Linked DNA regions of Schizosaccharomyces pombe. The protein of the gene in region 2 binds, or shares a complex with, the protein of the main gene of each other region. Each region holds a gene or a part of one and is shown on either strand. Other genes may lie near its edges. The genes, in order: rsm10, mrps17 and rsm24.

Evidence for each region.
Region 1: mrps17 (region 2) and rsm10 share a complex: the UniProt entries of both Schizosaccharomyces pombe proteins name them as parts of the mitochondrial small ribosomal subunit.
Region 3: mrps17 (region 2) and rsm24 share a complex: the UniProt entries of both Schizosaccharomyces pombe proteins name them as parts of the mitochondrial small ribosomal subunit.

Annotation. Positions count from the first base shown.
Region 1 is NC_003423.3:3,868,024-3,871,784, forward strand, and holds the start of rsm10 (mitochondrial 37S ribosomal protein uS10m), read left to right. Parts: upstream 1-2,144; 5' UTR 2,145-2,269; coding exon 2,270-2,349; intron 2,350-2,415; coding exon 2,416-3,022; 3' UTR 3,023-3,184; coding exon of another isoform or gene 3,185-3,761. Other genes in the region: mri1 (methylthioribose-1-phosphate isomerase), read right to left, coding at 1-578; protein Cwf3, read right to left, coding at 3,185-3,761. UniProt on the Schizosaccharomyces pombe protein: Component of the mitochondrial ribosome (mitoribosome), a dedicated translation machinery responsible for the synthesis of mitochondrial genome-encoded proteins, including at least some of the essential transmembrane subunits of the mitochondrial respiratory chain.
Region 2 is NC_003423.3:1,165,923-1,169,361, reverse strand, and holds mrps17 (mitochondrial 37S ribosomal protein uS17m), read left to right. Parts: upstream 1-2,064; 5' UTR 2,065-2,157; coding exon 2,158-2,430; 3' UTR 2,431-2,842; downstream 2,843-3,439. Other genes in the region: DNA recombination protein Saw1, read left to right, coding at 313-675; rRNA processing protein Tsr2, read right to left, coding at 1,028-1,300, 1,562-1,828; rib4 (6,7-dimethyl-8-ribityllumazine synthase), read right to left, coding at 3,115-3,439. UniProt on the Schizosaccharomyces pombe protein: Component of the mitochondrial ribosome (mitoribosome), a dedicated translation machinery responsible for the synthesis of mitochondrial genome-encoded proteins, including at least some of the essential transmembrane subunits of the mitochondrial respiratory chain.
Region 3 is NC_003424.3:562,249-565,675, forward strand, and holds rsm24 (mitochondrial 37S ribosomal protein mS35), read left to right. Parts: upstream 1-1,677; 5' UTR 1,678-1,921; coding exon 1,922-2,216; intron 2,217-2,225; exon of another isoform or gene 2,226-2,304; coding exon 2,305-2,786; 3' UTR 2,787-2,825; downstream 2,826-3,427. Other genes in the region: phospholipase D Pld1, read right to left, coding at 2,920-3,427. UniProt on the Schizosaccharomyces pombe protein: Component of the mitochondrial ribosome (mitoribosome), a dedicated translation machinery responsible for the synthesis of mitochondrial genome-encoded proteins, including at least some of the essential transmembrane subunits of the mitochondrial respiratory chain.

The DNA.
Region 1 (3,761 bases), 2.7 Mb from region 2:
GGGCGAGTTTCTGTACAATAAGCGTGTTCCAAGTTCCCCGATTCGTGTAAACTACGAATGATCCCCAAAGCTGTACCATAACCTGAGGTAGCTAAAGATCCAGTGTTGCAATGGGTCAAAACGGTGAGCTTGTCTTTATCTTTGTAATGCTGCAACAAGAATTTTCGGCCAGCAGTTCCAATATTGTGGTTGTCTTCTAAATCTTTTACTAGCATACGCTCCGCTTCCTGAATAATTTTATTTCGACAATTTTTTCCTTCTTGAAGAGCAATGCCTTGCATAAACTTTGCAGTTTCAAAAAGATTGACAGCGGTAGGACGAGACTGTTTGAGATGCTCAAAGCTATTTATAACATATTCTTTTGCATCTGCATCTTCAGAAAGATGTTTTAATCCGACAGCCACACTCAAAGCTGCTACAATAGCAATAGCTGGGGCCCCACGAACTTGCATTTTTTTTATGACAGCGAATGCGTCTTCTACATTACTAACTGAAATGTATTTACGCTCGTACGGAAGAAGTAATTGGTCTAATACAAGAAGCTTGTCCTCATTATAAATGATTGCTTGCAACGACATTCTGCCCAAATTTTTGAATATCTCTGCCTTTGAAAACTTTTACTTCACTAGCGCACGAACGCACATGCATCAGATAAAATTAAAGGATTTGATGAAGCTCGTAGCGATGCATTAATAGAAATAATGAATTAATATAAAGTTACACTGTGTAGTTTACTTAGGAACAAAAAATAGTACATTAAGTTTAATATAAATTTATAAGAAGAGTTAACGCAGTCTTTCGTACTTTTGACACTGCTTATAGATAGATAAAATTAGCAACCCTAACTTAATATTGTGCTTCTTATTTATCCGCACTATTTGATATGCATCTAACATTTTGAACGCGTAAACAAAAAATTTAGACTCATTCAAAGATGTAAGTTCCATCGTCAAATTATATTACCAAGTTATTTTGATAATGAGTATGGTGCCTTGAATTATAGATTAAAAAATGTATCACCGAATTTATTTTTAATAATGAGTCGATCTGACATATTAGAATCAAGGAATAATAATATGCATTGATGTTTTATGAAGGAATTACAGCTGTAGAACCTATGTATACAAACTTCAAACTTTTAAAGATGAGAACGATATATTTTTTTCGTTTTCCAGAAAAGCCATGCTTGAAGTATTTATCAAGATGTTCGGTAGTGTCAATTTAATAATCATATGTGCGACTTTGACTTTGACATGCAGCAAGAAGTTGTTGACACCAACCTATCTGCTTGAAAAGTGATACTCGTTTGCAATACTTAAATATATATATATATATATCAGTGATCGCAAGTCAGTTTTGAATGCAGGATTGGTAAACAAGGGTCGCAAGTTAATATATTTATATAGCTGTCTGCTGTAACAGTTTAACATACAACCTTGAAACTGTAAAACATTGAATATTTTTCATTGTTAAAGCCAATTTAAATGAGAACGATTATTGTGTTACGAGGTAAGCATTTAATTCCAAAATCCCTATGTATTCTTGTAGTATAAAGTAATTTGAATGACAAATCAGTAGATTCTTCCATAATTGCAAGTAGGATGCCAGTCCCAAACCTTTAATTCCTAGCTCAAAAGCACAATTGTTCAGTTCACACTTTTGTTAACTTCCGGAATTTGTTATTGTAAAATAATTGTCTCCTCATAATTTTAAAAAATTACATCTCATTGCTGACTGAGAACTCTCATCATACTGGTCAATTTTAAATTGTGCTGAAAGCCTTATAATCACAAATATTCATGTTTAATCGAATTTTTTTGGTTTTCTTCACTATGGTGCATCAATAATATTTTTAGTACAGTACAATCACACCCACCTTTGAATTCTAAACTTTGACCTTCAAATGCAAATAAAAAATTTATAGTTAGATCGTTCCATCATAGTATAAATTACAGAATGATATTGCTTTTTTAAAATAAATGTTACCATCTACGTGTTTTTCAAGGTATTCACGCGCGAACGACATTTAAAATGATTTCGCTCCGCTTGTTTATGTTCAATTAAAACATTGATTAATAACCCCTTAGTCCTACGATAATTGTGTTAAACTGAATATGATGGTGGATGACAAGTGTAGCTCGACCATTACTCCCCACTCCAACCAAAAAATTTTGTTAAAAAAAAACACCTTTACAGTGTTTAATTGTTGGAATTTTGTTCTTGTGGTTTTCTTAACAAGTATTTTAAGTAACCGGCTAAAATATTAATCATGAAACGGTATATGTTTGGTACATTACCTCGCGTGCAACCGAAACGTTGTTTCCAGACAGCTATTGGCAAAGAATCACCGTATGTATTCAATCCTTTCCTCTAATTTAAGCTATAATTTTGTACATTCTAACCCCAATTTATTAGCAAAGGGAACAGCGAAAAGGATCAACTTTTTGAGAATCCATTTTTTCAACAGCTTCCTTCCAACGTTGCAGCTGTATATTTGAACCCTGTTAAATTCAATCCTTCTGAAAACGACGTACTTTGTGCTTCTCTAAAAATTAAAAGCTTTGAAACTCCAAAACTTGATACGTTTACCGACTTCATTTGTCGAACAGCGTATTACATGAAAATTCCAATCAAGGGTCCACGTCCATTACCCAACAAAGTAGAAAGCTGGACTTTACTCCGATCACCTTTTATTCACAAATCTTCTCAGGAGAATTTTGAACGTATTACGCACTCTCGACTTATACAACTGTACAGTGTCAATCCAGTTACTTTAGAAACGTTTTTTAGTTATTTACGAAAATGCAACATGTGGGATTTAAAATTGCAAGCAAAAGCTTATGAATACGAATCCATCGATGATGCCCTTAAAAACTTCGAGTCACAGTCTAAGTCTACTGATAATTTCAAAGAATTGTTAAACGGTCCTTCGAAAAAAGATATAATCACACAAAATGCCGAAAAATTGCTCAGAAACGACCCCATTTACAAAGATTTGTTAAAAAATTCATCTCGAAAATAAAAATTAACTAATGTGTTTTCAATTACTCTGATGTTGGACCGTTTATTAGCAAAAATACTCTGACTGTATTCGTACTTTTTTTTTTAACAATATGACACTAGCTTTTCTTCATTAAAAGTGTTCTTTAACTAAAAACGTTACGAATAGTCCACACTTGTTTCGTTAGTTTTCCTCACCAGTAATTTTTGAAGTTTCTTGGGGATTGCTTTTCGAAAGAACAAAACCCGCAAGTGCCTTAGGTCCTTCAGATTTTTCCATTTCAAGCTGTTCCATTGGATCCATTGGTGCTGCTGCACTTTCAATTTTAGCTGCTCTCTTCGCTATATGAAGGGAATCAGTGCTAAACTTAGTTTGTACAGACCGTTTAATACGAAGCATTTCTTTAACTGTTTCTTCTGGATTTCCGTACCTTATTTCAAATTCTTGCCATGCTTTCCAATAATCCGTTTCAACTCTTGGATCACAGTATTGACTTCCATGAATATATATTAAACGAGCACGATCGATTTCACCAAGTTTCGTCTCCATTTCAGCAAACCTTAAGCACATATCTTTGACTTCTGAGTCACTCAGGGATTCAATAGCCTTCTCATAAACTGTCCTTGTCGCCAGTACACCATAATTTAATGCCACTTTAACGAGTAACACATTGTAAATAGCAAGACGGTCTGCTGTTTTAACCTTGTCGGCCGCTTTTTCTAAAATAGAAATGGATCTTTTTGCTTTGCCAAACTTTTCT
Region 2 (3,439 bases):
TTGATCGTTTACATCTCGATATATTTATTTGTTGTTAGATTCTCTCTTTTGAAGGATTATTGTTGTTCATATACTTAACTACTTGGCTAGTTAAAAAATAAATAATAAATAGCATTCCTAAAAAGTCGTTATGTTTACGACTCATTTACTTGACTGTATTCCCATCTTAGAATTGAAATTTATAAGTCGTCTTTTGTTGTATATAATTTAACTTAATACATGGAGTATTGAGAAATTCAAAGAGTTTTGTCATTTGCTTTTTTTGGCTATGGTTGACCATCCTCCCGTATCTAACCAGACACCAAGGTGCAAATGTGTTCTGTTGAGAAAATTGTGAGGTTGAGGCATAACTTGTTGTGTCACGTTCGAATTCATTTTAAAACAAAAGAAGACCTTGATATTCGGGCTTTCCTTTTTTCCCTACAGCGTGAATTGCATGCAGTTGCATTTCTCAACCAAGGATCCATCCGCACGCTCTACGAGAAAAGAGTAGTGGATATTACGAGTGAATCGGTCCAAAGCCATGCAATCATCGAAACTGCTAGAAATTTTGCACTACCAAATACTGCTGAAGAGGAGGAAAACATGGATCGAAAGCCAGAATTGCAGTTGAGTTTTAAAGGATCAATGACTAGTAAAATAATACATATTTATGTACAACCATTCGATTCATGAAAGAATGTATTTTGCGCCTTTTTACGTCTGCATGACTAAAATACACTCTATTTACAGCCTAATCTCATAAAAAACAAGTATTAAAAATTTGAGAAGTGAAAAAGCTGCTCAATTTAACTCGTATTCGTATTTTGGCGGATCACGTTCTTCTATACTTTTAACTACATCTTCTTATGACACGGATTACAAAGGCTTAAAAAATATAAGAGTTATTTCGATCCCAATTTTCAATTTTCAAACCAAAAACTTGAATTTTTATTATCCCCCAAAATACAAAAAAGATAAAACCAATTGCTCCCAGCAATAATGCTCATTTAATGATACCAAAAGATATAAGAATAGTACATCCTCTTTAACGACGTCTTTTCTGGACAACGGTGAATCCATCATCATCAACAATGGGTCCCTGCTGCTTTTCCTGCTGATTTTGAGCAGCTCCTCCATCCTCAGCATCAACAATCGTTTCGTCTTCTACCAATACCGGAGGATTTGACTCTTCTCTAGTTTTTTCCTTTCCTTCCTCCTTTTCAAGCAATTGTTTTCCGAGACGCTCATGGATTTCACGAATAGGTTCATAATTATCTTCGCAAGCAGCTTTCCACACATTAACCAAATCTTGAGCCAACTAAATAGACTGTTAATAGACGTATCACTTGATAATTATTTTAAATGCTAATAGAAGTAAAAAATTTTTAATATAGACAACAGAACGCAATATGTGTATAAACTCGAGCTTTTGACTAATATTCCAATATTTCGTCCTCAAACTTAAATCATTTTTTCGGTGCCAATATATATATACGAATCTTCAGTCTCAAGCAAGCTTGTTACGTTCTTTCTTGTTTGAAAAAAATCTTTACCTAATTTAGTATTGGTGAATACTTACGATATAGGGTGAGTCGTCTTCTATTGAACCAACATTGAATTCATCCTGCAGGACTTGAAGAATCAATTCTTCAACGTCCCATGCTTCCACATCGCTCGTAACTGTAATATAATCAACTAAAACTCCTGCCATCCAGTCTCGTTTATCGGCGGTATCGACATCGGCCCATTCTTCTTCAACAGCCTGTTTCATAACAGGCCATGAACATAAAAGAACACCGACAGCATATTCAAAATATGTCAGTCTCTTAGATGGGTCGTCAAACATGGCGAAAACACAGTGTCAATAACCCTCGTTCTTCTTCTCTACAAAGTCACCCTACCATAAAGTACTTTAAAATAAAATACACATACTTTTCCGATCCTCGTTATGTTGTTTATCACATTTATATATTATCATTAATTGACTTAAGGAAAGCTTATTTATGTTAAATAATTATAAGGGAAAAGACGCCGCTTCATTGCACATTTGTAAATAGGGCAATGTCAAAACTCTCTACTGCTAAAACGGTGCGCATTGATAACTTAGTTATTGTGGGTATTTAAAGGATTAGACTTACTTACTTTTCTTGTTTAATCCTAAAATTACTCTGAAGAATGAAGCTAAATTATGTGGGAATCGTGATTTCTCGTGCAATGCCAAAAACAGCGAAAGTGCGGGTTGCAAAAGAAAAGTTCCATCCAGTGGTGAAAAAGTATGTCACCCAATATCAAAACTATATGGTTCAAGATGATTTAAATTGTAATGTTGGAGATGCAGTTACAATACAGCCATGTAGGCCTCGGTCAGCGACTAAACGCTTTGAAATCATAAAAATCTTAAGCACAGCCAACCGTATGAGCCCAGCATCGGAGATTTCGAAAGAGTAAATAAAAAATCCCCATTAATTTTTGATGATTCCTAATGATTTCGATTGATCCATTGTGATAAGTCTTTCGCGGTGGTCATGAATATTGTAAATCGGTGATTGACCGCTCTTTCTTAACTTGCCAATTACCTGTATACACCGATATCGATTTTAACTGGAAATTTTTACATTCACAATGGCTACGTAATGTTGCAAATTGTAGATTGTGCATCAGAAGAGTCTCAAATCACATTCATTTCTAAAAGAAAACTACTCTTGTAGTACCATGTTTCCTGCTCCCAGCATTCAATGCCTTTAAATTTGTTTACAACTATGTCAATAATACTTCTGTAACATCTTTTTTTGTAAAAAGGGCAAGTGATTGAACAAGATGCATATAGACAGTAATATATTCAAAATAAAGCTTACAAAACATAATAAGTTGGGATTAAGTCTTAAGCAAATTTAAAACATCGTATACATTAACCCATAGCTGTATATCTTAACAAACTGGGGAATCATGAAAATACGTTGCAAACGATTGAATGAAAAACATACTTGTTCAACTAAGACGGTGCTCATAAGAAAGCGACAATGTATAAAGGATCATGACTAAAGCTTTAGCATGTCAGTAGGTCCTTTCGAAGAGCAAAACAGTCAGTAGCATATTTTATTAACAAAAAAATGAGCAAAGGATTCAACTTAATTAATACAAAGCTTTCAATCCCATCTCTACAGCAGCTGATCCCCAATCATTTCCATGGTTATGGCCACCATTCAAACCTGCACGATAAAGAGCTTGCTCTTCATTTAAAACTGTTAATAGACCTAGAATGACGGGAACACCTGAATCAAGGCCAACGCGCATAAGACCATGAACAACAGCTTCTGAAATATATTCAAAATGCATGGTGGAACCTTTGATTAAAACGCCAATGCCAATAACAGCATCATATGTATTGCGGGCGATGGAAGCACGAATACCTTGAGGAAGTTCCCAACTTCCCGGAACACTTTCAATGTCAATATTC
Region 3 (3,427 bases), on a different chromosome or scaffold from region 2:
TAAAATGATGATGGGTTAGTAAATTTGAAATATTCGATGGATTAAATAAGAAGCTGGGGAAAAATTATGCAAAAACTATTAATAAGAAGAAAGAATTGTCATTAAAATCAAATTGTATACATTAGTCAACCTTGGTCAGAAGAGGTCTGATGAAAGCTATGAATCAACGAAGAAAAAATGGAAATAATGCTTTATTCTTCAATAATTATCAATATTCAAACTTAATAAACGGCTAAGTTTACAAATTATAAAGCCATTAACACTTTCAACACTTTTTTAAATTTTATTTTATCAGGGCAGATTTACGATACTTCATGAATTGTTAATAGTCAATTAATTTCAACAAAATTTTTAATTAATTATTTTAAATTATCCATGTCAATTCCATCACAATGTCAAGCCAAATTGTATTAAAGCAATATTGCAATGGAATAAATTAATAAAATATCGTTGTCTGAAGATTTCTGTAATAGGTTATTTATTCAATTATTTTATAATTTTTTTTTTTTTTTTTTTTTTTTTACAAATGACTCATGTAAACATTAACAGTCTAATATTACTGTCTACAGATTGTTATATGCATTGACTTCCATTCGTGTTGAGTACTCTAAAATACTCAGCTCCTTAACATTTTTGCAAAGAACAAGTTATGTGGGTCAAGGTATTTAGTTTTTACTTAACTTAAAAGTAATACAATACAAACATTGTAAACATCACGGTTAAAGAACCCAATTAAGCACTATTTCACGTTCATAATAATATAGTTAAATAAAAAATACAGATTTTTTAAATCAAGTTCAATAAAAGATTATTTCGTAAAAAATTTTTTATTTTACTTTGATAGGCTTGAATTAACACATACAGGGAATAATAATGACTAGACGCTGAGCAGATGACTTGCCATCACTCTGTTTACCCCATTTTCTTAAAAACATTGCGTCTTTTTCTTATATTTAAATCATTCTTAAATGGAGTTTCCTGTTTTCTCATGAAACTTACAATTGAATCGAACTTCTTTTAATTATTTACTAAATAGCGCTAGTAATGAAAGTGCAATATTATCTAGCTGCGCATTGTAGTATCTTGTTTGACTTCTGTGAGTTTTCATTGTGATCGGTAATATCATATTATATATAGGTGTGATGTGGGTAGCAATTTGTTGTAAGTATTTATACATGGGTTACGTTGTTACCTGCCATTAATTAACATATAAACGAACCTGTTTCTGTTCAGATGTACTCTGTTTATAATCTTTTGGAGTAAACATGATCAAACACAAACAAGTACTCAAAAGAATAGTTATCAGCAATTATTAGTAAACGAATCTTAAATCTATCCTAACAGATGACATATAGTGATACGCAGCGTAACGTAGTGTAGTCTTGCTTACGAAAATCAAAATATAAGGATAACTAACACACTTTTTAAACAGCGAATGCCAAAAAAGGATGGGAAGCAAGTGCTATTAAATTCCTAAGAAAAAAAAAAGCTTGAAAGTATTATTAGGTGTTTTTATTCAATAGATGTTATAAATGCAATTGAGTAGAATCGATGCTATTTTACGTTACTAACCTTCATTCCAGTCTATTATGTGGTTTTTACTGGTTCTAACTACTAAGATTTAGTGTGTTATAATTATATACAACGAAGTCAAGTCAAGGACAACAATGTTTATACATTCTTCACTATCCCCTTCAAGTACCTTTTTGTAGCTTATTTAATTGTTTTGAGCATTTGGATTGTTAAATTTTAGAAAAAAAGTTTTTGTTAGATTCAGATTTCCATTTATAACGGCCACTCTTTTCGTTTCAAAGAAAATATAAAATCCGGTATCATACACTACTGCGCATTCGTTAAATGTGGTTTATTTTTTTTTATAATACAAATATTACATATATTTAGTGTTTTGGGTGGTTATAAAATGGCTTTTAATCCCCTTTTATCTTTATTGAAAGCAGATGCCATATTCCTCGGGCAACTTTCCAAATCAAGCTTTTGTGCTACTAGTAGAGCTTTCTCTGTTTTCTATTTTACAAGATTTAAGCGAAGTGCTTATGTGTCAGCGCCTTTTGGAATCGAGCCTCATGACGAGAAGGAATTGAAAACAATTGATGATAACGTCCATTCCAATAATCTATCATGGCAGAAAATACAAGAGCACGAGGTCATACGTGAATTGTATAGGAAAGCTGCTTATGAGCTTCCTGGACTTACGCGTAAGTTTACTGGGTAGTTTTACCTTAGGAATTCTATTTCACAATCACTTTAATATGCTTAATGTTCCATTTTCTCTGACAATTATAGCTTACACACAGTCTTTTAAAAAGCCTGCTGATAGCCAGATCTTTAGGTTTGAATCTGATGTCCAAATGTCTTCGTTTGAGAAAATGAATCCGAAGGTCGTTGTTACATTTAAAGTTACGAATATTCCTTTGCTAGAGGAGAAACAACGACATGTATTACGATTATTGGTTGGACCAAGATATAATCCGGAGGAGGATTTAGTCAGAATATCTTCCGACAAGTATTCTTCTGCACTACAAAATAAATATCATCTTATAAAGATATTAACTTCGCTCATTGAAGAATCGAAGAGAAATGCTGAAAAATTTTCACATGTCCCATTGAATACTGGCCATTGGAAATACAAGAAGTGTGATAAACGGATGCCACAGGAATGGCTCGCAGACGCAACTACACTCACTTCTAAAAAGAAAACAACGATTGGCAAGCAATCACATAATACAGTACTTGAACGAGAATCGATAGCAACTACAGATGAATAATATGAAAGGAAAGTTTGTTTAAGTTACTATTAAAATTAACGAGTCTATAATGTAAGCTAATATTGAAGGAATTAATCCTTCTCATTACTATATTAAGATGAAATAAAACTGTAGTATAAAAGGTACTGTTTCTCTAATCATAAATTTCTAACGGAGGGATTTTGTCAATACTACTGAGCCAATTTCTTGCGTTTGATTCGGTAGACATCCATTTTAATGGAAGTTCTACCAACTGTCCCCGAATGCCACGTAGTAAGTCGTAAACTACACGTTTGTCAGGAACTTGTAAACCATTATTAGTACGGGTTTTTGGTTTCTCTGTCTTCGAATCTTCACTTGCACTCGTGTTACCACTACCTTGGGAACCAGCCTTTGGATTTTTTGGATCATTCTCTGACTTTTCATGAGTTTCGTGTAGATTTGACAACTCCTCCTGACGCCAGCGGGCTTGCTCTTCTTTAAAGCGTTTTCCATATTTTTTCCACTCATTATATGATTCCCACGTTAGCATCTCGTCATCCGGTACACATCGAAATATGTGCCGATAAATAGTAGTATTGTTTGAAGCCACTTTAGACCATATGTCTTCAAAAAATTCATCGCAGACGGGGTCCTCAAAGCTTGAAGCGTCAAATTTAGGA